Sus scrofa: one gene and its partners. The protein of the gene in region 3 interacts with the protein of the main gene of each other region in a pairwise test. Links are inferred from orthologs where the notes say so. Each region holds a gene or a part of one and is shown on either strand. Other genes may lie near its edges.

What was found.
Region 1: the proteins of TXLNB (region 3) and CEP57L1 interact in binary tests that used the Homo sapiens proteins (3 or more experiments, as listed by UniProt). The two-hybrid records come from large-scale screens. The link is inferred for Sus scrofa from reciprocal best matches to the Homo sapiens genes TXLNB and CEP57L1.
Region 2: the proteins of TXLNB (region 3) and LURAP1 interact in binary tests that used the Homo sapiens proteins (3 or more experiments, as listed by UniProt). The two-hybrid records come from large-scale screens. The link is inferred for Sus scrofa from reciprocal best matches to the Homo sapiens genes TXLNB and LURAP1.
Region 4: the proteins of TXLNB (region 3) and USHBP1 interact in binary tests that used the Homo sapiens proteins (3 or more experiments, as listed by UniProt). The two-hybrid records come from large-scale screens. The link is inferred for Sus scrofa from reciprocal best matches to the Homo sapiens genes TXLNB and USHBP1.
Region 5: the proteins of TXLNB (region 3) and WASHC3 interact in binary tests that used the Homo sapiens proteins (3 or more experiments, as listed by UniProt). The two-hybrid records come from large-scale screens. The link is inferred for Sus scrofa from reciprocal best matches to the Homo sapiens genes TXLNB and WASHC3.
Region 6: the proteins of TXLNB (region 3) and MBIP interact in binary tests that used the Homo sapiens proteins (3 or more experiments, as listed by UniProt). The two-hybrid records come from large-scale screens. The link is inferred for Sus scrofa from reciprocal best matches to the Homo sapiens genes TXLNB and MBIP.
Region 7: the proteins of TXLNB (region 3) and DEUP1 interact in binary tests that used the Homo sapiens proteins (3 or more experiments, as listed by UniProt). The two-hybrid records come from large-scale screens. The link is inferred for Sus scrofa from reciprocal best matches to the Homo sapiens genes TXLNB and DEUP1.

What each region holds. Positions count from the first base shown.
Region 1 is NC_010443.5:75,169,600-75,173,792, forward strand, and holds the start of CEP57L1 (centrosomal protein CEP57L1), read left to right. Parts: upstream 1-1,393; 5' UTR 1,394-1,656; coding exon of another isoform or gene 1,657-1,660; coding exon 1,661-1,783; intron 1,784-4,193. UniProt on the Homo sapiens protein: Centrosomal protein which may be required for microtubule attachment to centrosomes.
Region 2 is NC_010448.4:165,194,692-165,198,191, forward strand, and holds part of LURAP1 (leucine rich adaptor protein 1), read right to left. Parts: intron 433-3,500; coding exon 1-432. UniProt on the Homo sapiens protein: Acts as an activator of the canonical NF-kappa-B pathway and drive the production of pro-inflammatory cytokines. Promotes the antigen (Ag)-presenting and priming function of dendritic cells via the canonical NF-kappa-B pathway.
Region 3 is NC_010443.5:25,266,603-25,270,102, forward strand, and holds part of TXLNB (beta-taxilin), read left to right. Parts: intron 1-330; coding exon 331-450; intron 451-3,500. UniProt on the Homo sapiens protein: Promotes motor nerve regeneration. May be involved in intracellular vesicle traffic.
Region 4 is NC_010444.4:60,418,129-60,421,628, reverse strand, and holds part of USHBP1 (Usher syndrome type-1C protein-binding protein 1), read right to left. Parts: intron 3,319-3,500; coding exon 3,069-3,318; intron 1,417-3,068; coding exon 1,198-1,416; intron 10-1,197; coding exon 1-9.
Region 5 is NC_010447.5:82,154,140-82,158,072, forward strand, and holds the start of WASHC3 (WASH complex subunit 3), read left to right. Parts: upstream 1-1,133; 5' UTR 1,134-1,239; coding exon 1,240-1,290; intron 1,291-1,601; exon of another isoform or gene 1,602-1,713; intron 1,714-1,854; coding exon 1,855-1,953; intron 1,954-3,933. UniProt on the Homo sapiens protein: Acts as a component of the WASH core complex that functions as a nucleation-promoting factor (NPF) at the surface of endosomes, where it recruits and activates the Arp2/3 complex to induce actin polymerization, playing a key role in the fission of tubules that serve as transport intermediates during endosome sorting.
Region 6 is NC_010449.5:63,657,882-63,662,022, reverse strand, and holds the start of MBIP (MAP3K12-binding inhibitory protein 1), read right to left. Parts: upstream 2,801-4,141; 5' UTR 2,716-2,800; coding exon 2,587-2,715; intron 1-2,586. UniProt on the Homo sapiens protein: Inhibits the MAP3K12 activity to induce the activation of the JNK/SAPK pathway. Component of the ATAC complex, a complex with histone acetyltransferase activity on histones H3 and H4.
Region 7 is NC_010451.4:25,831,394-25,834,893, reverse strand, and holds part of DEUP1 (deuterosome assembly protein 1), read right to left. Parts: intron 3,002-3,500; coding exon 2,888-3,001; intron 947-2,887; coding exon 704-946; intron 1-703. UniProt on the Homo sapiens protein: Key structural component of the deuterosome, a structure that promotes de novo centriole amplification in multiciliated cells.

The DNA of each region.
Region 1 (4,193 bases), about 50 Mb from region 3:
CCACCACAGCACTTCGTATTTTTAAAACGAGAAATGTAAGAAATAAATCAGAAAAATCGAATCGTCACGAAAACATAAGCCTGGGTGACATTGGTACCAGAAATGTCTTCGATCTACCAGACAGAGCTCGCCCTCTCCTTCTACCCGGAGTAGCAGTCTTCTAGTCAGACAAAAAAAAAAAAAAAAAAAAAAAAAGTTGGAAAGTTGAAACCTTACAGAGCTGGCTTTGCTGGACAGTGTCGGGGAAGTGTTCCTCTCCGTCTCTCGGGGTCAGCGGATATCCTCAAGCCGTGGAGCTGTCAAATCCGTGCTCTGCCCCAAAAGGCTGGATACAGTTGAACGCTCTGCAGCCACTCGGTGTTTTTTGTCCGTGCAGCCACGGTGTTCTCGGGAGCGTTCCCACCCCGCCCCTCCTCCGGCACCAGTCCCCGCCCTCCGCAGCTCCTCCCGCCCGGCCGGGCGCTGGCTGGAAAGGCTCGCCGAACCCTGGCTCGCTGGACGCCGCGGCTAGAGACCCTGGCGCTCCCCAGGGGCTGCAGTCTCGTGCAGCCTCTGTCTCGGTGGTGGCGTTGGAGGAACGCGTCTCTGGCTCTGCGGATTCAGAATCCACGGGCTGACGCTGCTTCTCTTCCAATCCCGGTATCCTCGCCCACTGCCGGCCAACCCAAACCGGCACAGGGCAGCCCAGCAATCCCCGATCGCGGGGCTGGGCCGCGAAGCTGGCGGAGCGGCAGGGCCCCAGGCGCAGAACCCGCCCCTTCGCCCAGCCCCATCGATGGGGCTCGGCCCAGAGGGCGGGAGCGGGGAGGGGAGACGGGGTCCTCACCCCCAGCCCCTCCCCTTTCTCCGCCCGGCACAAGCCAGGAGCCGCCCCTGCCCCTGCCCCTGCGCCCTCTTCCCCGCCCAAGCAGACGCGACCCGCTGAGGCAAAGCCATCGGAAAAAGCCCCGCCCTCCAACAAGCTACCTCCGGACCCCGAGCCCGCGAGCGGCCGCCAACCGCTGACGGCTGCTACGCATGCGTAACGGTGGGCCGGGCGCATGCGCCTTAAGAGGCACCGAATCTGCTCGGGGGGCGTTTTTTTTTTTTGTTTTTTGGTTTTTTTGGTTTTTTTTTGCCTTGACGTTCGGCTTCTTTGGGCTGAACGGGGGTAACGAAAAGTTGAAATACGCCGAAATTATCACACACGAGACAAGAACCGCAAATAAGGAGGGCACAGATAAACTCCTGGAAGAACTCGAATCAAAATTTAAAATCAGAGGAAAAAATAGAAACTCTTTATTGCGCCAAACACCAGATTTAAGAAGGCAGGGCGTCCTCGCATTGACTTCTGGGAAGTGTAGTTCTGGTGCTGTAGGCGCGTTCTGTTTGAGACAGAAACTACAGCTCCCGGGAGCCACTGCGACGTTGCCTGTGGCTCCCTGCGAGCCAACGGCTAGCGCTGCCGGAGATTTGACTGAGAGATTTGGCTTGGTGAGCACTGTGGGCTTGGCTGACACTTTTCCTTTGACAGTATTTTTCCTTCCTCCATTTCCTGTGGGATTTTAGAAAGGAAGCCGTCTCCTTAGAGCTGTACTCCTTAGTCCAGGGACTATCAGTAATCTACGTGGGAAGAACTAGTCCGAGTGCCCAAGACCGCGGGCGCGTTGAGAGGACATGGATGGTCGGAAAGAGCTGCATAAGGTCAGGCAAGAGGGATGCTGTGGAAACTAGTGCTCCGCGGTGCTACCTCTGCTTCTGCTCTGTCAGGTGGGCTCACGCGGGATGGACTCAGTATCCCTGTGTAAGTGCACCTTTGTTTGCCATTGCATAGGATTGTTTGAGGCTTTATTTGCGCAGAAGAAATCCTGTGCCACACTTTGAAAGAGAGTTGTCAAATCCTTTTTGTACAAAACTGAAGGGAAAAGAATCCCTCGTGTTCCTAGATATGAATATTTGCAGGCTTTAAGAATACCATATGGAAAAAAGACTTATAAAAATCTCTAAAATTTAGTAATTTTAAAAGATTAAATAATTTGTTTGCATATTGCTGTTTGAAGTCATTCTTCTTGAGAAAAGTTGAGGTTTGAAGGGCTATCACTGGACTGATAACAAATTAGTTTTAATTTTTCATGTTGCACAATACATGCGTTTCTAAAACTTAGTTTCTAAAAACCAAGTACTGGACAAGTGGAAAACGCACAGTTCCCATCTAGTTAAACTAATGGTTAAACATTATACAATACATATATAAAGTACAGTACACACATTAAACATACAGTACTATATGATATTATTAGGATGGCTAGAAAGATCACTTAGGCCGGTCTTGGAAAGTCAGGGAAATCTTCATCTCAGGGAAAGAGGGTCAAAAGAACAGCATATGGTGAGGCCAAGAGTGAGGGAGATAGTAATTTCAGGAAACTGCAATAAGCCAAAATCATATACATTTCAGGAGGAATAGCTTTTTGTGTTTTGATGTACAATACAGCAAAGAGAAAAGAGTAAAGAGCAGAAAAGAGAAACGTACTATGAATTTTCCAGATAGTTTCTGAAAGTGACCTATCCTTGAACAGAGTTCTGATGAATTGGTTTAATTTGGAAAGCCTAGAACATTCTAATGTTGCTTGTTTAAATCAGAATTTTAAAAAATGAGAACTTCCTTCTTATGAGTATGATTTCAGAAAACAAAGCCACTCCTTCTTGTGTCTTTTGGGGTGGGGGGAGGCTCATCTTCCTTTGTCCAACCCACAAAGGATAGGGTAGTTTCTTAAGTGTGGGTCTCCTTTTTACTTTGTGATTGAGTATGATCTCATTCATAGCCATGGTTTCACCACCACCTATGACTTAAATGTATAATTTCATCCAACTTCACCTTTTAGCTTTGTTTCACCACCACCTATGACTTAAATGTATAATTTCATCCAGCTTCACCTTTTAGCTTTCTTATGCCCATCTCTATGGTGTTTCTTCTTGGATATCTCAAAAGCACCTCAGACTTAACATGCCTAAAACCAAATGAACAGTATCTTTTATGAATCTGATTATTTCCCAGTGTTCCCTATTTCACTTAGGGCACTGCCATGCACTTGTGAAAATTTGAAACCTATGCATTATCCTTGATTTCCTAATGTCCTTCATACCTCTGTAGCCAAATTATTTTTAAGTACTCTCAATTTTGTCTCCCAAATATCCCTCAAATCCATCCTTTGCCTCCATCTACATAAGCACAGTCTTTTCTAAACTGCCATAAACTCTTGCCAGGAATGGTGAAATAGTGATTATTCACTCTGGCCTTTCTCCATTAGTTCTCCACACAGCAGCCAGAATCATCTTTTCAAAATGCAAATCCATTCAGATTCACATTTTCACTTAAAACCATTCAGTGTGTGTCCTACTTTTAAAGGCAAAATTTCTTTACAAATGTCATCTTATGTCATCTGGTCCCTTCCACCTCTCCAGCCTCACTTAGTACACCACTGTCCACCTATCTGTGGAGACCTTTCTTCAGTTACTGGCTCTTATATTCCTTTTTATCCATTTGTTCACTGAACAAATATCTTATCAAATACCTACTGTATAAGGGGACATTGAGGATATACTATTGAGCACAATGTATGAAAGTTTTTACTCTCATAGGTCTTCCATTGTGCTAAGGAGAGATAGACAATAAATATGTGGCATATATAGTAAGTGAAGACAAATGCTGCAGAGAAAAATAAGAACCAGCGGGGAAAGGGAATGTGGAGTGGCAAGTTTTAGGGGCAAGATTCTCTTTTAAATAAGGTCAGAGAAGGCCTAATCAAGAAGGGAACATATGAGGGATCTGAAGGAGGGGAAAGAGTAAATGTGCAGGTGCCTGGAGGAGAAACATGTCTGTGAAGAGAACAGCCAGTGCAAAAGCCTCTGGGTGCCCACATTTAACAAATAGCAGTGTGGCAGGAGATGAGAATAACATGAGATCACAGAGGAAGGAGGTCCTGTAGGTGATTGAAGGAACAATTTTTTTTTTCTTTTTTTCTTTTGCTTTTTAGGGCCGAACTTGGGGCATATGGAAGTTCTCAGGCTAAGGGATAAATGGGAGCTGCAGCTGCTGACCTGCGCCACAGCCCCAGCTACAGGGGATCTAGGCCTCATCTGCAACCCACGCCACAGCTCGCAGCAACACCAGATCCTTAACCCACTGAGTAAGGCCAGGGATGGAACCCACCTCC
Region 2 (3,500 bases), on a different chromosome or scaffold from region 3:
AGGTCCACCTTGGAGCCCCTCCCCTGGGGGCTTCCACAGAGCCCTCAAACTCCCTAGCCTGGCAGCTGTCAGGTCCAGCTCAGTCCTGGCCCTCTCCCCAGTGGGTATAACCTTTGCCCAGTCCATCTCGGGACGGGGAGCCCCGGGGGGGCCCTGTTCATCCAGCTCGCTGGGGGCCACCGTGTCCAGGAAACTGCCGATGGAGACACTGTCCAGCCGGTCAGTGGAGCTGGCGTCTGGCAGGCTGTCCCAGCTGCCTCGCCTTGAGCGGCCTGGGCTCCCGCCCGTCAGGCTATATTGGCTGCTGGTGAGGCTGCTGCAGTGGCTGGTCAATGTCCCCCGCTCCTCCAACAGCCAGCGCACCGCCTCGATGCCCTCGTTCAAGGTCACCAGCTGCTGCAGGATCTTCACGTCAATGGCTCGCAGGTAAGCCTAGGGGAGTGGGAGAAGCAGTCAGTCCCAGGTTCAGCGCCATGGGTTTTCTGCAGTGTTTCTGGAGGCCCCCGCCTTGTCATCCAACCAAGTATGCTCCACTTTTTTTTTTTTTTTTTTTGGCTTTTTAAGCCCGCACCTGGGACATACCGAGGTTCCCAGGCTAGGGGTCGAATGGGAGCTACAGCTGCCAGCCTGAACCACAGCCACAGCAACATGGGATCCAAGCTGCATCTGCAACCTACACCACACATCATGGCAACACCAGATCCTGAACCCACTGAGGGAGGCTGGGGATCAAACCCGCCTCCTCATGGATACTGGTCAGGTTGGTTTCCGCTGAGCCATAGTGGGAACTCCCTATGCTTCACTTTTAAGAAGCATGGAAATAGAATGGATTGGAGTGTGGGCTTTAGAAGCAGATGGACTGCTCATTAAAATCTCAGTTCGACAACTAACAGCCACCATACGACTGTGAGCAACTTTCTTAGCTTCTTTGAGCCTGGGTCTCCCTGTTTGTGAAACAGGGATAAATGGCACAGGGTGGCCGTGAGAATTTCGAAGTGCCGTCTACTGAGTAATGAGCACTGTGCTGGCACAAAGTAAGGTCTCAGTATTAAAGCATTAAAATCCAATCCTACTAAGATTTGAACTTCGTAGATAGGGTATTAACTATTGAGCCAGTCCAGATTCACCAGAAAGACTTAGAATCGGTCATCCAAAGAGTAGCCTGAGAGGGGTCAGGTGTTAATTGGAAAGCACGCTGGGCCTAAAGGAGGCGGGAGCTGGAGGATAAAGAGGGCGTTAATCTGCATCCCCGGTCCCTTCAGGATGCTGGTAGCATCTGCCACAGGATGGAAGGCTTGGCTAGAGCTTCAAAGAGCTTTTTCCTCTACTCTGCCCCGGCCTCCCTGTGTGGACTGACTTACTAGGTAATCTCTAGGGTCCCTTCCAGCTCAGATGCACTGAGTTCTATTCCCCCAGCACAAGTCTGAACCTGTCTGCCCCTTGCTCAAGAACCTGTAGGAGCCTTGCGTGGCTCTCAGAGAATAAAATCTAAACACTTTGGCGGCAGGGATTCAAAAGCCTGTCACGGTCCAGTTCTTGCGCATCCCTCTAACCTAACTGCTAGCATGTTTCTATGGGAACTCCAGGTCCTGCCACGCAAGACTTTCTAAATTTCATTTTATTTAGTTTTACTTCTAACAAAAGTAAGAGAGGAGTTCTCTTGTGGCACAATGGGTTAAGGCTCTGACGTTGTCATTGCAGCAGCTTGGATCGCTGCATGGTGCAGCTTCAATCCCTGGTCCGAGGCGTGGCCAAAAAAAGAAGCAAACAGTCCTGCAAGATTCATTATGAAAAGTATCAGCTCCCCCATCCTAGTCCTAAATCCCACTTCCCAGAGACATCTACTATTAATTTCTTAGCTGTTTGTTACTTACTTTCTAATTTTCAAATAATATGCTACTTAACTAATTTTTTTTTTACTTACTGATTTTTAAGTTTTAGGGTTTTTTTTTTTTTTTTTTTTCTCTTTTTAGGGCTGCATCCACAGCACACGGAGATTCCCAGGCTAGGGGTCAAATCAGAGCCGTAGCTGCTGGCGTACACCACAGCCACAGCAACACCAGAACCAAGCCGCATCTGCGACCTATACCAAAGCTCACGGCAACGCCAGATCCTTAACGGCAACGCCAGATCCTTAACCCGCTGAGGGAGGCCAGGGATAGAACCTGCGACCTCATGGATGCTGGTCAGATTCGTTTCCACTGAGCCACAATGGGAACCCCGAGTTTTAGGTATTTTCTATTGACCTTGCACACAATGGAAGGTTAAGGATTTAACCCTTTCATCTTACTCCTTATTTCTCTGCCATCCCGATACCCTTCCCATCTCCCCGCATCCCCAAAATGTGCAATAAAATTACTTATTCAGCCTTTCCATTTTAAGAATTGGAAATGCTATTCACAACTAAGCCGTGTGGTTTTACTGTGGCTACTTTTCCTCTCACACTTTATGTTTTCCTTTGTAAATAACAATTATTATCGTTGTTATTATTACACGACTACTGCTTGGCTTAGTCTGGGATATCGTTATCAGTAAGCCATCCCTAAACTCTCTCCCAGTTGTCTGCGTTTCCCTCTCAGGGCTTTTTTTCTTTTTTTGGGGGGGGTCTTTTTGCCATTTCTTGGGCCACTCCCGCGGCATATGGAGGTTCCCAGGCTAGGGGTCCAATCGGAGCTGTAGCCGCCGGCCTACACCACAGCCACAGCAACTCGGGATCCAAGCCGCATCTTCGACCTACACCGCAGCTCATGGCAACGCCGGATCCTTAACCCACTGAGCAAGGGCAGGGACCGAACCCGCAACCTCATGGTTCCTAGTTGGATTCGTTAACCACTGCACCACGACAGGAACTCCTCAGGGCTTTTAAACATATGTTCTATCTATTCCGTCTTCCTCAAGGCAGTGCTCTAGAAGCCTCCTGATCTGCTCTAACCTGTCCCCACTGCACGGCTGTCTGCCAGGGGTCTCCCTTCACGATCACCTTGGGGATTCCCTTTGCCTCTCTCCTGAGTTGGATCCCCTCTTTCCTGGATCCCACATCTTCTTTATTGATTTACTTCCTCATGTGTATGTGTGGTGCTTTTCTTTCAGCAGCTTCCTGAGAAAGTCGGCACAGACTATACCTGCACAGGAGGTATATTTATTGAAGCTTCACGTTTTAAAATGTTCCCCCCAAAAAAGAGTTCCTTTTCTCTTCTCACACTATTGACCTTTCGGCTGAGTACAGAAATCTAGGTTGAAAAATAATATTTCTTTGGAATTTAAAGCATTGCTTCATTAACTTCTGCCATTCTGACTCCCGACTCCCTTGGAAATTTTTTTTTTTTTTTAAGGGCCGCACATGAGGCACATGGAGGGTCCCAGGCTAGGGGGTGAATCATAGCTGCAGCTGCCTGCCTGTGCCACAGCCACAGCAACGCCAGATCCAAGCCGAGTCTTGGACCTACACCACAGCCACAGCAATGCCAGATCTGAGCCTTGTCTGCAGTCTGCACCACAGC
Region 3 (3,500 bases):
ACACATCACTGTCTGTGCTGTTTAGCATAATAACTAGCATCATATCTAACAGTTACCAAATTTAGGAAAATACTTTGGGACCTTTTGGAGTTAGCATTGCTGAACCTTCACCTTTTGCATTCACTATTGTGTAATGCAAAATGCAGGGGACTCTGCCAATTAATGGCTTTTATATAAAATCATAAGTGATGCCAGTGCATTTATTCCTCTCTTTTTTATAATCTTAAAATCCAGAGAACATGTGTTTATGTCAACATTACTTTTTTTATTTTACATTTTTCAGTACCAATAAAAAGTCAAGCTTGATATGTGCACTTTATTTTTCCTTAGCATCTGGACAAAATATTTAAACACAGAGAACTGCAGCAGAAGCTGGTGGATGCAAAACTTGAGCAGGCACAGGAAATGATGAAGGAAGCAGAGGAACGGCACAAACGCGAGAAGGAATATGTACTTATCACCTGCGTCTATGTGCATGTCTGGTCTGCCTCAGGGTCAGAGAACCGCTGAGGATATGGTTTTTGACAAAGGTCATAGAGCACTAGGCTGATGGAGAAAGAGCCTGAGCTTCCCTGGAGAATGAAACTGGCCAGCCCGGTAGGAGGCCCTGTACCCACACTGTTTGTTTCCTTTTTAGGGCCACACTCAGGGGCATGTGGAAGTTCCCTGACTAGGGGTTGAATCTGAGCTATAGCTGCTGACCTACACCACAGCCACACCAATGCAGGATCTGAGCCACATCTGTGACCTATACCACAGCTTACAGCAACACCAGATCTTTAACCCACTGAGCGAGGCCAAGGATCGAACCCGCATCCTCATGGATACTAGTCGGGTTTGTAACCCACTGAGCCATAACAGGAACTCCCCCATGCTGTTTTTTGCATAAAATATTTATGCATACATTCAACAAACCTTTTTCCAGCACCTGTTATAAGCAAAGCACCATTCCTGGTCCTGGGGTGTAGCAGTGAACAATATAGAAGGCCACATCCCAGCATGGAGACTAGAGTCTAACTGGGAAGAGATGCACAATAAACAAGCAAAGGAATAAGGAAGGATAATTTCAAATAATAAGTGCTACTACAAAAATAAAGAGAAATCGAGGGGACTTACTTTAGACTGCTGTGCCCTGCCTGATGAGAAGAAGTCAGAGAGAAGGTCTCCAGAAGCAGTATCTGTAGCAGAGACAAAGGTCCTGATGCTGAAACCAGCTTGGCATCCTACAGAATATATTCCTACAGAGTATCAGTACCATTGATATTTAATATATGAGACCTGACAGAGGAACAGCTAGGCAAAGATTCATGTGAAAGAGACTGGGGGGCAAACACAGAGTGACTCAACCTTACCAAATTGCTAGCATGCTACTCTCTTTTCCTACCCTGATTTAGCAAAACAGCAGATATGAATCAAAGAAAGACAGTCACCCTTAGTTCTTCAAAGGTGGTCACTTACCTGGGTTCCAACTCTGACACTTCTTTTTGAAAGTGATGAAATATCAAATCAGGGCTGAGGGTATTGGGTGGTTCCTTCATCCCAAGCAGAACAAGCAGCCTCCTTCCTCCCTCTTTGTCAGGGACCACCCATCACAACAGGGCCCCTGAGTGTAAAGCAGGGGCTGGCCATGTACTTTGCTGCCACACAGCTCAGATGGCCAGAGGGGGCTCTGCAGATCTTCTAATCCACAGCTGCTTCAGCCCTCTCATACAATGAGTTAGCTGCACTTCAATAATAACTGATCTTCACTGCTCGCTAGGAGGCATAGAGGAACATGTATAACCCCCTGTTATAAATGGAAAGGTCAAGACTAACTTGGATAAGAAAAAAGAAGCCTTCAAGTTTTTTTAAATAATGATTTCATTGTTTTTCATTCTGGTTCCCAAAACTGACCTTTTTTTTTTTTTTTTTTTTTTTGTTAAACCATAGGGATAAATAAAAAGGAAAAAAATTATATCAGCCTGTCTTGAAATAAAATAGAAACTTAACTGATGACCATCTGACTAACCAGGCTATCCATGATGTTCACCATTCTGTGTAACCACGCTGACAGTTCCATAGCAGGTTAACTCCTGTAGCTAGTTAACCACTCTGGAAAAGTCACACATGGTTGTCCAACTTAAGTAAGATGGTGCTTACCAAGAATGGAGTCTTTGCTCCCAAACCTTTTCTTTCCAGTCATCCTTGGTTTTGCATCATGTAAATCAAGAGAATGATACATAAACTGATAAAATACAATGTGAAAAGAAAGAGTTATCTCTATGAAAACCATGCTTGATGCTTTGAAAGACTAGATGTAGGCAAACAGCAAAAGAACAACTGTCAAGTTAGATGTGAGAAGCTATACAAGACCTAAAGAAAATTATAAAACAAGACCTAAAGAAAACTGTAAAACTCTAGAGAATTATCCAATCAAGCTGCTTTCCAAATATCTTAGGTCTTTAGGGTCCAGCACTACTGTTTAAAAAAAAAATTATAAATCTGGGAGTTCCCATCGTGGCTCAGTGGTTAATGAATCCGACTAGGAACCATGAGGTTGCAGGTCCGATCCCTGGCCTTGCTCAGTGGGTTAAGGATCCAGTGTTGCCGTGAGCTGTGGTGTAGGTTGCAGACGAAGCTCAGATCCCGCGTTGCTGTGGCTCTGGCATAGGCCGGTGGCTATAGCTCTGATTAGACCCCTAGCCTGGGAACCTCCATATGCCGCAGGAGCGGCCCTAGAAATGGCAAAAAGACAATAAAAAATAAAAAATAAAAAAATTATAAATCTTATATATGACATTTTATAGATATAATTTTTATAAAAACAAAAACTGGCAAAAACCCTCTAAATTCCAATCAGAAGATCCATATCCAAAACATCTAAAGATTAACCCAACATCAAAATTTATAAATAAATGAACATACATCTTAAGTTAAAATAACATGTTTTAAATGTGTGTGTCACTTTTACACATAAATAACATTTTCAGTTTAACCCATCAGTTCCAGTTCTAATCATGTTTGATATGAGGACCTTCGCTATATCTGAAGGGTTGCCTTCTATAGAAGAGGGATGAGACTTCTTTTGCAAACTTTATACAGGACTTAGAATAACAGGTCAAATTTCTAACCAGCTGTTTCTCACAACATAATCCATGGACCACCAACATCTAAACCAGCTTGGGTATTTGCTTTAGGTATAGATTCTAATCACATTATATATTTCCTACATCCTTTATACTCATTCTGTATACTCATTACATTATCTGAGAAGAATCTGCATTTTAACATGCCCCCAAAGAGATTCTGATGCATGCTATGGTGGAGAACAAGGCTCTAATATGAAAGAATTACTGGGTTTAATATAAAGGAATAGTTGCTCACAGCCATGGCCCAGGTGGGGATATTCTAGAAATGTTCAAGCAGAGGCTGAATGATGCTTGGGCAGGATTGCTAAGGTTCCAGAATTTGGTGGGAGGTTGAATTTTAGGTGATTCATGCTTGAGTTAGAGACTTTTTTT
Region 4 (3,500 bases), on a different chromosome or scaffold from region 3:
AGGCAGGCTCTGTGGGAGGTAGAAGGGAGGGTAGCGACATTAGCATAGCCTGAGTGTGGGCTCAGCCCAAGCTGGACACTGAAATCACCCAGAATGTTGTGGCCACGTGGCCACAGCCCTCGCCTTCAGAGCCCCCACTCTGGTTAGGTACCTCCATAAGGGTACAGGTACTCCCTAACAAGGGAAAAAAATTACAGGGGATCTCCTTTTTAGGCAATCCAGGAGAACTTCCTGGAGGAGGTGATGTCTGAGTTCAGGCCTGTAGGAGGTTGAGAATTTAATTAGATAAGGAGGGAAGTGACTGGTGTTCCCAGCAGGGTCACAGCATTTCTAAAGGCTTGGAGGTAGGAGAGGTGATTCAAAGGAAGGTTCCGGAAGCCACTAAGGCTTTAAGCAGAGAACAGGCATGATTAGACAGTAAGGGGCAAAAAGGAAAGCCTCAGAGAGGAAGCTGGAGCCAAAACTTCGGAAGAAATGAAGCATAGGCTGGGACCGTTGGAATGGAGAAGGGGAAGTATGAATAAGACTGGGGGTGGGAAGGAGGAGGCACAGGTTTGAGTGGAAGACACTAAATCCCTTGGGGCTTATTGGGCTCAATAAATACCCTCAAAGAAAGAAACCCCAAAGTAGAAGTGGGAATTTTGAAATGTAGCTTAACCATTAGCTCTTTTTGTGTGTGAAGAAATGGAAACTGAGAGGTTCCCGTCATGGCTCAGCGATAATGAAACCAACTAGTATCCATGAGGACACGGGTTGGATCCCTGGTCTTGCTCAGTGGGTTAAGAATCCAGGGTTTCCATGAGCTCTGGTGTAGGTCACAGATGCAGCTCAGATCCTGTGCTGTGGCTGTGGCCTAGGCCGGCAGCTGCAGCTCCAATTCTACCTCTAGCCTGGGAACTTCCATATGCTGCCTGTGCAGCCCTAAAAAGCAAAAAAAGAAAAGAAATGGAAACTGAGACTCAAAGGGGGCTATGATTCTTTTTTTTTTTTTTTTGTCTGCACCCACAGCATTCGGAAGTTCCCAGGCCAGGGATTGAACCCACACCACAGCAGTGACCTGAGCCACAGAGGGGATAACACTGGCTCCTTAACCTGCTGAGTAACCAGGGAACTCCCCAAAGGGGGCAATGATTAACCGGAACCACACAGTCACTAGTATACAGCTATTCCTACCAGGTCCAGGCACGGCCAACTCACCTGGGACCACTCCTCCTCTCCGCTGGTCGCGCCTCCACTGCTGTCTTCACCGCTGCTGTTGGCCTCACCCGTCTGGAGCTGTGCCCGCTCCCAGCGCAGCTGCTCCAGCAGGAGTACATGGGCTGGGACCTGTGCTCGGAGGGCAGCCTCTCGCAGCTCCAGAGCCCGCTTCTCCCGTCGCACCAGCTGTAGCCTCAGCGTCAGGTCAGCCAGGGTCTCCTGGCAGACCAGGGAAAGGGGAGAGAATTTTCACCTCTAGGGTCAACTGCTGGGGAAACTGAACTCCAGGGGGCACCCACTGAGGGCTGGTCAGGCAGGAACACAAACCGTCCCTGTGATCTTGTCTTTTTTCTTTTCTTTTTTTTTTTTTTTTTGGTCTTTTTGTTATCTCTCTGGGCTGCTCCCGCGGCATATGGAGGTTCCCAGGCCAGGGGTCGAATCGGAGCTGTAGCTGCCAGCCTACGCCAGAGCCACAGCAACGCGGGATCCAAGCTGCGTCTGCAACCTACACCACAGCTCATGGCAACGCCAGATCGTTAACCCACTGAGCAAGGGTAGGGACCGAACCCCACAGCCTCATGGTTCCTAGTCGGATTTGTTAACCACTGCGCCACGACGGGAACTCCTTCTTTTCTTTTTTTAAGGCCCGTACCTGTGGCATACGGAAGCTCCCAGGCTAGGGGTCCAATTAGAGCTGCAGCTGCTGGCTTAGATCACAGCCACAGCAACTGGGGATCTGAGCCACGTCTGTGAACTACACTGCAGCTCACAGCAATGCGGGATCCCTAACCCACTGAGCCAGGCCAAGGATCGAACCCGCATCCTCATGGATATTAGTCAGGTTCGTTACCGCTGAGCCATGAAGGGAACTCTCCCTTCATGATCTTGCATGATGGGAAATATCATCTTCCCATTAAAAACAACAGCTTGTGAAGTTCCCGTTGTGGCTCAGTGGTTAATGAATCCGACTAGGAACCATGAGGTTGCAGGTTCCATCCACGCCCCTGCTCAGTGGGTTAAGGATCCGGTGTTGCCATGAGCTGTGGTGTAGGTCACAGATGCAACTCGTATCCCACATTGCTATGGCTCTGGTGTAAGCTGGTGGCTACAGCTCCGATTGGACCCCTGGCCTGGGAATCTCCATATGCCACGGGTTCAGCTCTAAAAAGACAAAAAGACAAAAACAAACGAACAAACAAAAAAACACAACAGCTTGTAGGGAGTTCCCTTTGTGGCGAAGCAGAAATGAATCTGACTAGTATCCATGAGGATGCAGTTTGATCCCTGGCCTCGATCAGTAGGTTAGGGATCTGGCGTTGCTATGAGCTGTGGCGTGGGTGGCAGATGAGGCTCAGATCTGCCATTGCTGTGGCTGTGGCATAAGCTGGCAGCTGCAGTTCCCATCCTACCCCCAGCCTGGGAACTTCCATATGCCATGGGTGCAGCCTTAAAAAGCAAACGCACAAACAAAAAACAGCTTGTAGAAATGCCAGTTCATAGAGAGCAAGTATCCTAAACAAGGTCAAGTAGCAGCTCAGTGGAAGTGTCCGGAGTTTCTCCAAATTCAAAACCTCAGCTCTTTCATGCCAGGCTACAAACCTCAGATTATGGCCCCTTCCTCTTTCTTTTCCATAGGAGGGGCATTTTGGGAAGCTAGATTTGGAATCTTATGAGAAACTGAAAGCCGGAGGACAAATTCCTATTCATCCCTCAAAACCCCAGCTCCAAATCTCCTCCCTCCAGGAAGCTAGTCCCCAGTCCAGCAAAACGCTCCCTTTCTACTGGGTCCCCCAATCACATTTCTCTCTGACTCAGCAAAGAGTTTGGTTCCACCAGGAAAGACTGATACAGTGACCACAGCCCTTGTGTACCCGTGTGGCTGCCAGTTCCTGCTGGATCTGCGTCTTCTCTAGCCGGGGCAGCGACGGGCCAGGCTGTGTCCCCAGAATGGCCTGCACCATGGCTTCAGCATGGGGCACAGTGGACGTGGGTGCCGAGGTAGGGCCAGGTTCTGGAGGAATCTTCACAAGAGCACGGCGTTCCTGGAGACGCTGAACATAGCCTTGGAGCTGGGTAGCCACCTCCTGCAGTGTGGGCTTATCCACACTGTTGCCCTCGCGGCTACAGGAAACAGAAGAGGATCCTATGTCAGCACTGGTGGGCTCCATTGTCTTCCATCCTATTGACTGTGATGGGTCCTTCCTATGCCATCTGTGGTGGGCATGGTCAAACCAATATGGTGGGTACCACACTGTAAACCTCAATGATCAAAATCATCTATCAGTGATGAATGATGGATGAAC
Region 5 (3,933 bases), on a different chromosome or scaffold from region 3:
TTACAGGCTCTGAAAATATAACTATTATTTTTGTTTTTGCTTTTTAGGGCCACACTTGCGGCATATGGAGGTTCCCAGGCTAGGGGTCTAATCAGAGCTACAGCTGCCAGCCTACACCCACAGCCACAGCAACACCAGACCCAAAGCACATCTGTGACCTACACCACAGCTCACAGCAACACTGGATCCTTAAGCCACTGAGCGAGGATCGAACCCACAACCCCATGGTTCCTAGTTCCAGATTCGTTTCCACTGCACCACGATGGGAACTCCTGAAAACATAACTACTGAAAAATGCTTTAAGACCTTTTAATTTAACAGATATGTTATATGCAGGTGGGATTCATGGACTCTGCCTTTTTAAATCAGTATTCGTTACAATTTACTTCTTTTGTCTCCAAAATGCACTACAGTAATTGAAATCTGGTAATCCATTTCCAATGAGAGAAAGCCTGGAGAAAGGACACGGGTATTTCAGAGGATTTCAGGAAGATGACCAAGACTTCTAGCTATAGATTGTTTTTAACAGCCCTGGAAATTCAGTTATTATGTTGTGAGTGGCACTGCCTTCAGGAGCTATGGAAGAGTGATGAAGAGTATCATCAAGAATCCTAGGAGGCAATGAGAAAGTCCCACTCTTCCGTTAACTAGAATTATATCTCACAGAATTATACTTGTCTTTTCTTTTTTTAAGAAACCAAACCACTTTGGAGAATTTCTGTTAATTGGCCAATTTTAGATAAGTTAATATTTTTATAGTTCTATAGATACATATACTCAACCTGATTAAATTAGGGCCCAGGGGCCAATCTGGCACTTAGTATGTTAAAAATAACAACAAAAACAAACTATATATATATTTTATTAACGAATGCCTCAGCTGCCTTATACGAGAGACAACACTAAGCAGAGGGATAACCTCAAACAGTCGGGATGCTTTACTTTTCCCCGCCCCATTTTTAAAATCTTGCGAGAAGAGAATTTCACCCTTTCTAGACTCGGCGCTCTTCGTCCGACGTCACAATCCGGAACTAAAACTACCAATCCCAGAATGCCTTGCGAAGGGGTGGGCTCTCCGGAAGCCGCCGAGTGATTGGCGAGAGGAGGCGTTTCCTTCCGGCGGGAAGAACCCGGGAGGCGGGGACTGGGGGGAGGTGTTCGTAAGCTATTACCGGGTTGGGCTGGCCTGGTCGGGGAGGGGTGTGTGGGTGAACCCTGTGTCCCGTGCCCGCTGAGGAGATGGATGAGGATGGGCTTCCTCTCATGGGGTCAGGCATAGACCTGACTAAGGTTTGTAAAAGATGGAGTTGAACTCAGGTGACCTGGGAGGAGGATGGGGAAGGGACGCCGGGTTCCCAGGGAGACCACATCTCTCTAAGCCCAACGCTGTCCTAGGCCTGTCTCATCTCTCTCCGGAGGGAGAGTCCCATAGTTTGCCCTTTAAAGAGGTCCCTCCTGAGGTAAGGAAGGGCGGGGGCAGTGTAGTGTACCTCTCCCAGGCTTCGCTTCCCAGGTCACGAGTCCCTGTCCTCAAGGGTGAACCACTGGCGACACGGGCCAGTTCCGATTTCTAACCCTACCTCTTTTATTCGGCCCTTAAGGTTTTCGTGTGTTTACGTGTTGCCTATACCTGCGGAAGTTCGCTCTTGTGAATCCAGAGCCCTTTCTCAAACTTTGCAGCATCTGTCATCTTTGAACACCCCACCCCCACAGGTTAGGAAAACAAGTTAATGACTATTGGCAGAACTTCCAGTAACTCATATCACACAGAGAAACGCCCCTTTATTAATATCGAGGGGATTGCACGGTGTACCTTCCTCCTGTACGGATCATGTTTATTTTTACGCAACACAGGTGCCAGCTATTCAACAGAAAAGAACGGTGGCATTTCTAAACCAATTTGTGGTGCACACTGTACAGTTCCTCAACCGCTTTTCTACAGTTTGTGAGGAGGTAGGTCCAGTGGTGTTGGTCTAATGTGTAGCCCAGATATCACCTCGCACTTTTGAAGGTAGCAAATGACTAAAACAAGATTTACAGTCTGTGTATTCATATACCGTGACCTCTTCTCACCCAATTATTATGTTAATATACCTTAAATCCTCTTTGGTTCTATTACCGTCTTCCTGCAGCCCATCTCTGCTGAATTAAACTTCTGAGACTTTTGTGAAGCAGTTCACTAAGGCTTACTGTAATTGAAGATAATAATTGTATTTCACAGTTAAAGACATTTTTTATTTTGAAATTGGTTATGTTTCTCCTACCTCAAAGATTTACGTTTTAGGTGTACATTATTTTACATTGCTTGATCCAAAAGATGATTGAGGAGGTAGCCTAGAAATGTAACTTTGGCATCAAATATCATCATGGAAATAAAAGTAAAAATACGGAGTTCCCTGGTGGTGCAGTGGGTTAAGGACCAGGCCTTGTCACTGCTGTGGCTCATGTTTGATCCCTGGCTCTGGAACTTTTTTATGCCAGAGGTGAGGCCAAAAAAAAAAAATAATAAATAAAATACTTTGTGCATATGACTTATGAAGTAAGGATAAAGTAGCTCAGTTACAGATTAGGTACCAGATCTAGGGACGACTGTCTTATAAAAAGCTAAAAAAGAGAATGGGTTGAAATTAGGTTTAAGAAGGAAGAAAGGGGACAAGGAAATGTTTTGAAACCAAAAGATGGTGTTTTTGCTCAGTTTTCTTTACTTCTTGAGGATTGCGTCAAAACCTAGGGCCCCGTTTTGTTGTCATGAACCACCTGAGTGCTGAAGTTACTGTTCACCCTTTGACTGAGTATCCTCCCCAGTCAAATCCTTGAATTGAAACTGTTCTTGTAGAGGAATTGTTGCTGCCTGAAAGGTGTAAGAGTCAAGATTGTTGTCATTGGGAACAGGATACACATATACACTTTAATGTTAAAGAAAACCCCCCCATTGGTATCATGGTATTTCTCTATGCTTGCAAATTCTACTTTCCAAAAGTTCAGTGACCACTTAAAGCTAAATACGCTTTTAGGGATGATTTAAACAGAAATTAAAATGATTTCATTAAGAAGTCAAGGTCTGGGAGTTCCCGTTGTGGCGCAGTGGTTAACGAATCCTACTGGGAACCATGAGGTTGCGGGTTCGGTCCCTGCCCTTGCTCAGTGGGTTAACGATCCGGCGTTGCCGTGAGCTGTGGTGTAGGTTGCAGACGCGGCTCAGATCCCGCGTTGCTGTGGCTCTGGCGTAGGCCGGTGGCTACAGTTCCGATTCAACCCCTAGCCTGGGAACCTCCATATGCTGCGGGAGCGGCCCAAGAAATCGCAACAACAACAACAACAAAGACAAAAAAAAAAAAAAAAGAAGTCAAGGTCTGGAGTTCCCTTGGGGCACAGCAATTTAAGGATCTGGTACTGTCACTGTCTGGCTTGTGGCGCTGCTGCGGCATGGGTTTAATCCCTGAAAAAAAAACAAACAAACAAAAAAAATCAAGGCCTGCTTCATGAAATACCGTGAGAATACCTAGAGACTTCCCAGTCCTAGCCATTCTCCTACTTTTTGTACAATATGTGATGTATCTCCATTCCAGTTGCATTTTGATTGACACAATAAAAATGTTTCCAAGAAGTTAACTAGTAAATACCAATTTTTGTCAGTTGAATTATTGTTAACTTGTGCTTGTGAAGCTATTGTAAAAATCTTATTAATTTTTGAAAATCAAATAAACCCACCCCCCCAAAAAAAAAGAGAAAAGAGGAAAATGTGATAATCACAGCTGAGTCAGTTAAACAATATTTAGTTCGTTATGTCTTATATATAACATAAGGTAGGGAATCAGCATATAGTTTTTGTTAGATATGTTATTAATAAAAATTGCATGGAGCCAGGAAAACTGTTTTCGTCTGTATAAGATTCCAGCTGTTCTTTTGTCTAGTTATCAAAATCACTTCTGC
Region 6 (4,141 bases), on a different chromosome or scaffold from region 3:
ATAAAGATATATTACTTTAGTTCAAATATAGATCTTATGAATTGTGATTACAATATAGCAAAAAGATGAATGAATCACTGTACAAAAAACTGAAAAGATATGAAGTTCCCACAAAGGCACTATATTGAATGCTATATGAAAGAAATTTCCACCCTTTGACCAGGAATATTTAAAGTCCATATCAGACAAGCATAAGGAACTAAGTTTTGTGTAGGCTGCACTAGCAGATGAGTTTATATTAATTTAACTAAAGTTTTACATTAAGATTGCTACATTAATCTTAATTAATTTAATGCCTATAAAGATTTTGTTAGACAACAACTTATGTATGAAAGTAAACTATACTTTCACAGTTCCAAAGAGATCTATAGTTGGTTATAACAAATTTATATATACATTTTGGGATAATGCAAATCCTCAACCAAGACAAAGCAACAAATTTACCAAATAGTAACTTATAGAAATTAATTTATGTTTGGATCATAGTCTCATTTCAATACAGCAGAATTATGTAAGCTTTCAAGTGAAATTCAAGATACTTGGTCTTTTAAGAAAACCATATAACAACATTAAAAATTAACTTTAAAACTATCCCAATACATTCAATTATTATTCAACAAATTCCCTATTAGTAATATGAATTCTATGCATTTTTAGGCTATAGAACTTGTAACTCTAAAACATTCACTCGAAAATGTATAAGTCAGCCATTAATATGGACCATTTAAAATATGCATTTCAGTAAAAACTTTATAAATATGAAAATCCAAGCTAATAATAAATAACTCTTCAGCTTGTAAAATGGACAATCCAGAGGCAAGTAATAAAGTTAAAATTAGTAAACTGGAAATCTAGGATAGAAAATACTGTTTAAACATTCAATTTTATGTTTCCTATTGAGGAGAGCTAATAATACAATGATACTATATAGAATGAACTAGGCATTTTACAACATACAGTTAAAGAAATTCCTTAAACCAGTTTCAAAAAAAAAATAATGATTCCCACTAGGGGCAATTTTATAAGTATAGTACTCTGGCTTTCATCCTTATCTTTATACATCTCAAAATATAGAGTATTATCAAAATGGCTAGCAGTTAATTGATGAGATGATTTTTTTTCCCCAACACTTGTATAAATGGTTCCTTCACTGTCAATAAAACTCACCAAATATTTAAACATTTTTGAGGTGACATAAATAATTTGTAATCATACTTTTCCTACAGAATAGTTGAATGTTTAAAATGTTAAAATAAGTTTTAAAAATTCAGTATGCCAACTGTTTCAAAAATGTTTAAATTATTTCTTAATGTTATTTAAAAAAATCTCATCAGTGGGGGGAAGTCTGTAAACTACAGGTGAGCATTAACCTTTCATCTTGACATTAGGATATAAAAAAAAAAAAACCTTAAAGTTCCAAAGTCACATCATAGAAAGTTCTCAAACTTTTAAACCATTTAGAGGTTTTAAGTCTTGACACTGAAATATTAATGTCCCTGTCTCAAAAAAATATTTAAGTCCTTGAAAAACAACTCTTTTAGCCGATTCTATTGATAATTATTCGCTTACACCAAATTGTGTATTTAATTTTGAGTAATACTCTTTTTAAGTCAGAATATATTAGAATTTTTAAAAATACTGAAATAACCTTTTAAAAAACTGATTATCCATCCACCGAAGGCTTTTAAAAGTAATTTTCACAAATCAAACGCTCTATTTTCATAAAGGATGTTACCATTATCTTCCACACAAATACCTAATCCTATCTAAGATTTAAAAAAAGATTTCCTTTTAAAAGCAGACAAACGGTATTTTCAAGTTCGCATTTTAAATTTCCTTTACATCTTACATCATGAAACGAAATAGTGACTTCACTGGAACAGAGTAAAGAGCACTTTTATTTGTTCGATTCTATAATGATATTTCTACAAAAGCTATTTATCAGCCAGTTAAGCTAGTTAATATTTAATAACTTGTCAACAGTTGTGATGCAAACAGTATAAACCAGGGATAACTTATCCAACTTAACACTAGAAGTGGTTGAATTAATTCCTTTTCTCTTCCTTCCCGTTTTGAAAGGGGAAGAGATGCAAGCAACAGCCAGAAAGAAAGAAGAAATAAACAAACCCAACTGACTCCTAACGGTAAATCACCCAAAAAAGGCGGAGAGGGAGCTTTTCCAGAAATCTCAGGCCGTAGACTAACCTATCAATTTCTATAATGAATGAATTGGAGGAAAAGGGATCCACAGCGCTAGGCGCCTCCCAAACCCTCACAGCTTTTCCGCACGCATTCTCTTCGAGCTTGTTTCTCTCCTAGCGGGGTTTCACTTACACTATCCTCATTCGCTCTTGGGGAGAAGAGTTGCAAAGAAATCTAGCCTGCAACCGGTCTTGAACTAACCCACGCGCGGCCAGCCTCACTTAGACCACAGGCGGCCGGGCCCGAGCTCCTCCCCCAGCCTCGGCTATTCTGGGCCGGGTCCCACACCCCGCAGGCCTCCGCCGCCCCCGCCTCCGCCGGAGAAAGGAGAGGGGGAGGGGCCGGACGGTTCCCAGATCCCTACTCCCAAAGCCCACCACTCACTTGTCCAGCAAGGGTATGCAAGGAGCGAAAGACTTCGCAGACCACCTCTTGGGAGAGGTTGGGGCTGCAGCTCCGCTCCATGCTCCTGTCACCGAGGGTCGCGCGACTAAGCTCAGCGGCGGCAGCCATGACACTTTCGTAGGCCACCCCCACCAGCACCAAGGTGTGCTCACAACACACCCCTCCCTCTCCTGCCTTCGTCGCTCCCCGATGATGTAAACACACTGCGTCTCATTTAGAGCGAGACTGTAAGACCCCACCTTCCCTACATGACTGACAAGCATGTGCACCAATAAGGTGCAACTACAGCATTCCTTCAAGGACCGTGAGCAAGAGATTGCCAACCTGGGCTTGGCTTGCTGCAATATTTGAGATGGTGATTTGGAGTCGTTATCTAATGAGAGTTAGCTTCTTGAAGCTTAGCTTGACGCTTAGATGTTGATTATGAGTGTTGCTAAGAGAAAACTTGTAGTTAAATGTTAGAGTTTTAGTACCAAATTAAAGTTGAGATTTTACCACGGCACTTTAGAAAGATCGCTGGTCAGGGACGCAGTGGATCCACACATATTTCTAAACACTGAAAACACACAGAATTGTCATAATTGGGTAGAACATTTTCGTCTATACACAATTTAACATCACTTTTTTTTCATGAGAGAAAGAGGAGGATATAACCACCTCCCCCCCAAAATACCCCTCTTTTATGCCTCATTTACTATCAAGGGAATACTACTTTAAATCTGCAAAATAATTCTGTCAAGTTTTAAAACTTGCATAGTTGCTGTTCTCTGAGTGATATGGTATACACACTCATCTAAAACTGTTTCAAAGAAAACAATGTCAACATGATTCCAACAGGAATTTAACCCAAATAAGTAATTGCGTGAACACCATCTTTGAAAATAAAGATAAATCCGAATTAAAATTCAACAAGTTATTATTTATCCAGATAACTGTATTAAAAGATATCTGAAGGGCTCTGTAGTATTCCGGGGTCAAGCATTGAAAATTTTGTTGTCCAATTGAAAAAAAAAAAAAAGTTTAGACGAATGCTTAATGTTAAACTCTATTCAAAACCACTTGAAAAATAAACATCATGTTTAGATATGAGGGATGAAAGATTTAAAATTCTTAATTCTAATTGTCTAATGCGTTTACAGTAGGAGAAGCAGAGTTGGAAACTTGCACAATGTGTATTCTTCAGTTTTAGAGTAGGCTGAATGAAAGGGGAGGAATAAACCATCAAGGAACTTGGATTAGGGGCAGTAGAGATAAAAGAATGCCTTTGACCTGTCCCTAGGGAGCCTCTTAATTAGGCTTTCATTTCCAAGGATCAGCAGGCTTGACAGGATCTTAAGTAATCTCGTCCGCTCCCTTGTTCACAGCAAGATATAGAGTTTATAATCCAGCCTATGCCTAGAGACATCCAGAAACAGATTTCACAATATCTAATCCCAAATTGAGCAACCTTCTTCCCATTCAAGCTACTCTTCCCCGTGTTAACCTAAATCCAAGAGTCTTTGCAATGTTAAGGTATTTTCCTGGCCTCTAGTTC
Region 7 (3,500 bases), on a different chromosome or scaffold from region 3:
ATATCACAGGGAATGCCTCCCCTGGTCCCCACTGAGGTTATCAGATTGTCGAACCTTAAATGATTTCCTGGATCTTCATCCTAGGATTCCTGAGTCCAAGAGGCACAGGGTCAAAGAGAATGAATGATGGGGACACAGGGTGCTGTGTGGCTAAAGGGCTAGGTTTTTTAGGACTAGAGGTCTGTGAGCGACCACTGTTACACTGCACTGGCAAGATACTATTACACCACTGCAGAACACAAGTGCACCTGTTGGAGTAAAGTACCCACAGGATTACTAAGTTTACTCATCAAATGAGAGCTACTTGGTAAGAGAAAAGATAAGCTGAATTTATACATGTAGGAGTTCCCATCGTGGCTCAGGGGTTAACGAATCCTACCAGGAACCATAAGGTTGCAGGTTCAATCCCTGGCCTTGCTCAGTGGGTTAAGGATCTGGCTTCACTGCGAGTTGTGGTGTAGGTTGCAGACGTGGCTCGGATCTGGCGTTGCTGTGGCTCTGGCACAGGCCGGCCGCTAACAGCTTCAATTACATCCCTAGCCTGGGCACCTCCCTATGCCGCAGGTGCAGCCCTAGAAAAGACCAAAAAAAAAAAAATTATACATGTAATAAAAAATTAGCTTTCTATTCCATATACCTGTTGGGTCATCATTTATACAACTCATGGGCAGTTATCAATTAAAAATAAAAATAAATCTTTTACCTGGCACTGTCTTTGGTACATTTTCAGTTCTTGTAAGAGCTTCTGATTTTCATCTTGTAGCTTATTCCTGCTTAATGCTATTTCACTCACAGCTGATTTTAATTTTTCAATAATGAACTCATCTCTTTCAGTGGTTTCACAACTGTGATCTGGTTCACATAGCAACTGAGGAATTTCAGAGCTGCTGTCTTCCATGCCCTGTTTTTTACCATTTAGTTGAGTTTGGTAACTTTGTGCCTGTTTCTGAGAAATATGAAAATTGTGTCAGTTGAGTGGGGAATACAACACTTAAGCTTACATAAAGTTCAAGAATGATAGAGAAGAATTAGGAAAAAACATTTATATTATTAATGAAACTGTTCTTCATAATTCAGTCTTGTGTTTATTCTAAAACTTCAATTTCAGAGGGCATAAAGAGAATATATATTTGCATAAACTCAGAGCAAATATGTAGAGTAGGGTAGAGGACTTTGGGTAGGGAATTCTTATTTAGCGAAAAAGAAAATAGAGAAGATATTTAAAAAGGGGGGAAAATATGGATTCTATTACACAATAGTTGAAAATGTCTCTATGGCCAAAAAAATAAATAAATAAAATAACAAACAAGAAAACACGATGGACTGTAGGAAAAAGTTGTCAACACCTGTAACAAGGGTAACTTCTGGTACACAAAAACTTCTAAGAAAAAGACAACGCAAGAGAAAAGTGGACAATATTTATGCACAGGCAATTCACAGAAGAGAAAATGAAAAAGTCTAGAAACACATGAAGAGATGCTCAACATCACAAGCAGTCAGAGAAACACAAAGCGAATCAAGCCAACATTACTCTTGGTCCATCAGGTTGGTAAAAATCAAAGGACTGATCTTCTGGTGAGAGTCTGGGTAGTTTTGCTGGCTGTTGAGAAACTAAATTACTAACTTCTTTTAGGAAGTCATCTGCCAATATTTATTAAAAATCTGATTGGCCCACTTTCCATTGCCCGAATTTGCACTTGCTCTCTTGCCTCAGCAGCTTTGCTAACGTTATTTCCACCACCTGGAATACGTTCTCTCTTAGAACATATCCTTCCTTCAAGATCCTGGCCTAGTCCCACCCCTGCTGGAGGATGTTTCCTAAATCCAAATTTTTCTCACTCCTTCCACCTCTAAAAGGATTTGGATCCTTTCCTTTCACTTGTCATTAATTATCTGTAAACCTGTACATGTGTTATGTCTGTGTCTAGACTAAGCTTCTAGGGGGCAGGGACCAAGCAAATTTAAGACTTTCTAAGAGACTTGATCATAGGCATGCAAAAACATGTTATTTAATGACATAATAACAATGGACCTTTTTTTTTTTTTTGGTCTTTTTAGGGCTGACCCGCAGTACATGGAGGTTCCTAGGTGAGGGGTCGAGTCAGAGCTATAGCTGCCAGCCTACACCACAGCCACACCAGATCCTTCACCCACTGAGTAAGGTCAGGGATCAAACCCGTGTCCTCACGGATACTACTCAGGTTTGTTACCACTGAGCCATGATGGGAACTCCACAATGAACACTTTTGAATTGAAGTATCATTGATTTACAATGTTGTGTTAATTTCTGCTGTATAGCAAAGTGATTTCTTTTTAAATATTCTTTTCCATTATGGTTTATCATAGTACACTGAACACAGTTCTGAGCTGTACAGTAGGACCTGTTTATCCCCTCCATTTATAATAGCTTCTATCTGCTACCTCAATATCCTACTCCATTCCTTCCCCAACCCCTCCCGTGGCAACCACAAGTCTGTTCTCTTTGTCCGTGAGTCCGGTTCTGTTTCATGGATAGGTTCATCTGTGTCACATTTTAGATTCCTCATGTAAGTGATATCATGTAGTATTTGTCTTTCTCCGTCTGACTTCCTTTACTTAGTATGATAATCACTAGCTGCATCACATGTTGCTGTGAATGGCATTATTTAATTCTTTTTATGGCTGAGTGGTATTCCAACAATGGACATTTTTAATAAAACCATCTTCTGAGACATACAGACTAAAGTCACCATTACAGACATTTCACACCCTTGTAAACTCTACCCAGTGTTGGAACTACTCATTATTTTCCCTTAGTTGGCATTTCTATCTGCAGAATGGTAAAGAGGAATAATAGTATTTAACCTCTAATTTATTCTAATTTAGAGGATAGTATTAGATAATGTACCTGAAATTGATTACACTTCTCAGATAACAATTTTTGTTGAGCATCTACAGAAACCAGATGAGTCTGATATAATATCTCCTGCTTGTCCCATTCTCTTGACTTTGCTCTAAATTCCTTTTAAAAAAGTGGAAAGATAAATTGAAAAAATTATTCATTCCAAAGTACAGTGAACGAGGCTTCTTTCATTTGTACATCTTTCTTCTGAAGAAAAAAAAAATCCACCTTTCCCCATTAGGAGAACAAAAAGTATCAAATCACTCACTCTGGATTTACTAATTTATCTTCTAATTTTTGCTAGGAAAGTATGGGATTTAATTCATATTTTTAAAAAATAAGCACTTGTTAAAGATGCAAAAATTTTTAACAAACGCTGTTTACTAAGAAGGGAGTTGCATCAATCAACACTTCCTTTCTATTTCCTCAGCTGATATCCAAAGTTTTTCCCATCTTTTATTCTCTACACTCAGTCACCAAACCTGCTCTCTTGCTTTTGAGGGGGTGGGGCTTGGACTAATTTAGTGACTTTGTCCCCTGTGGCTTTCAAAGCTACTGTCCCAGGTGAAGCCAGATCAACCCATCAACAGAACAACCACCTCAGGGCTCCTTTAAGCAG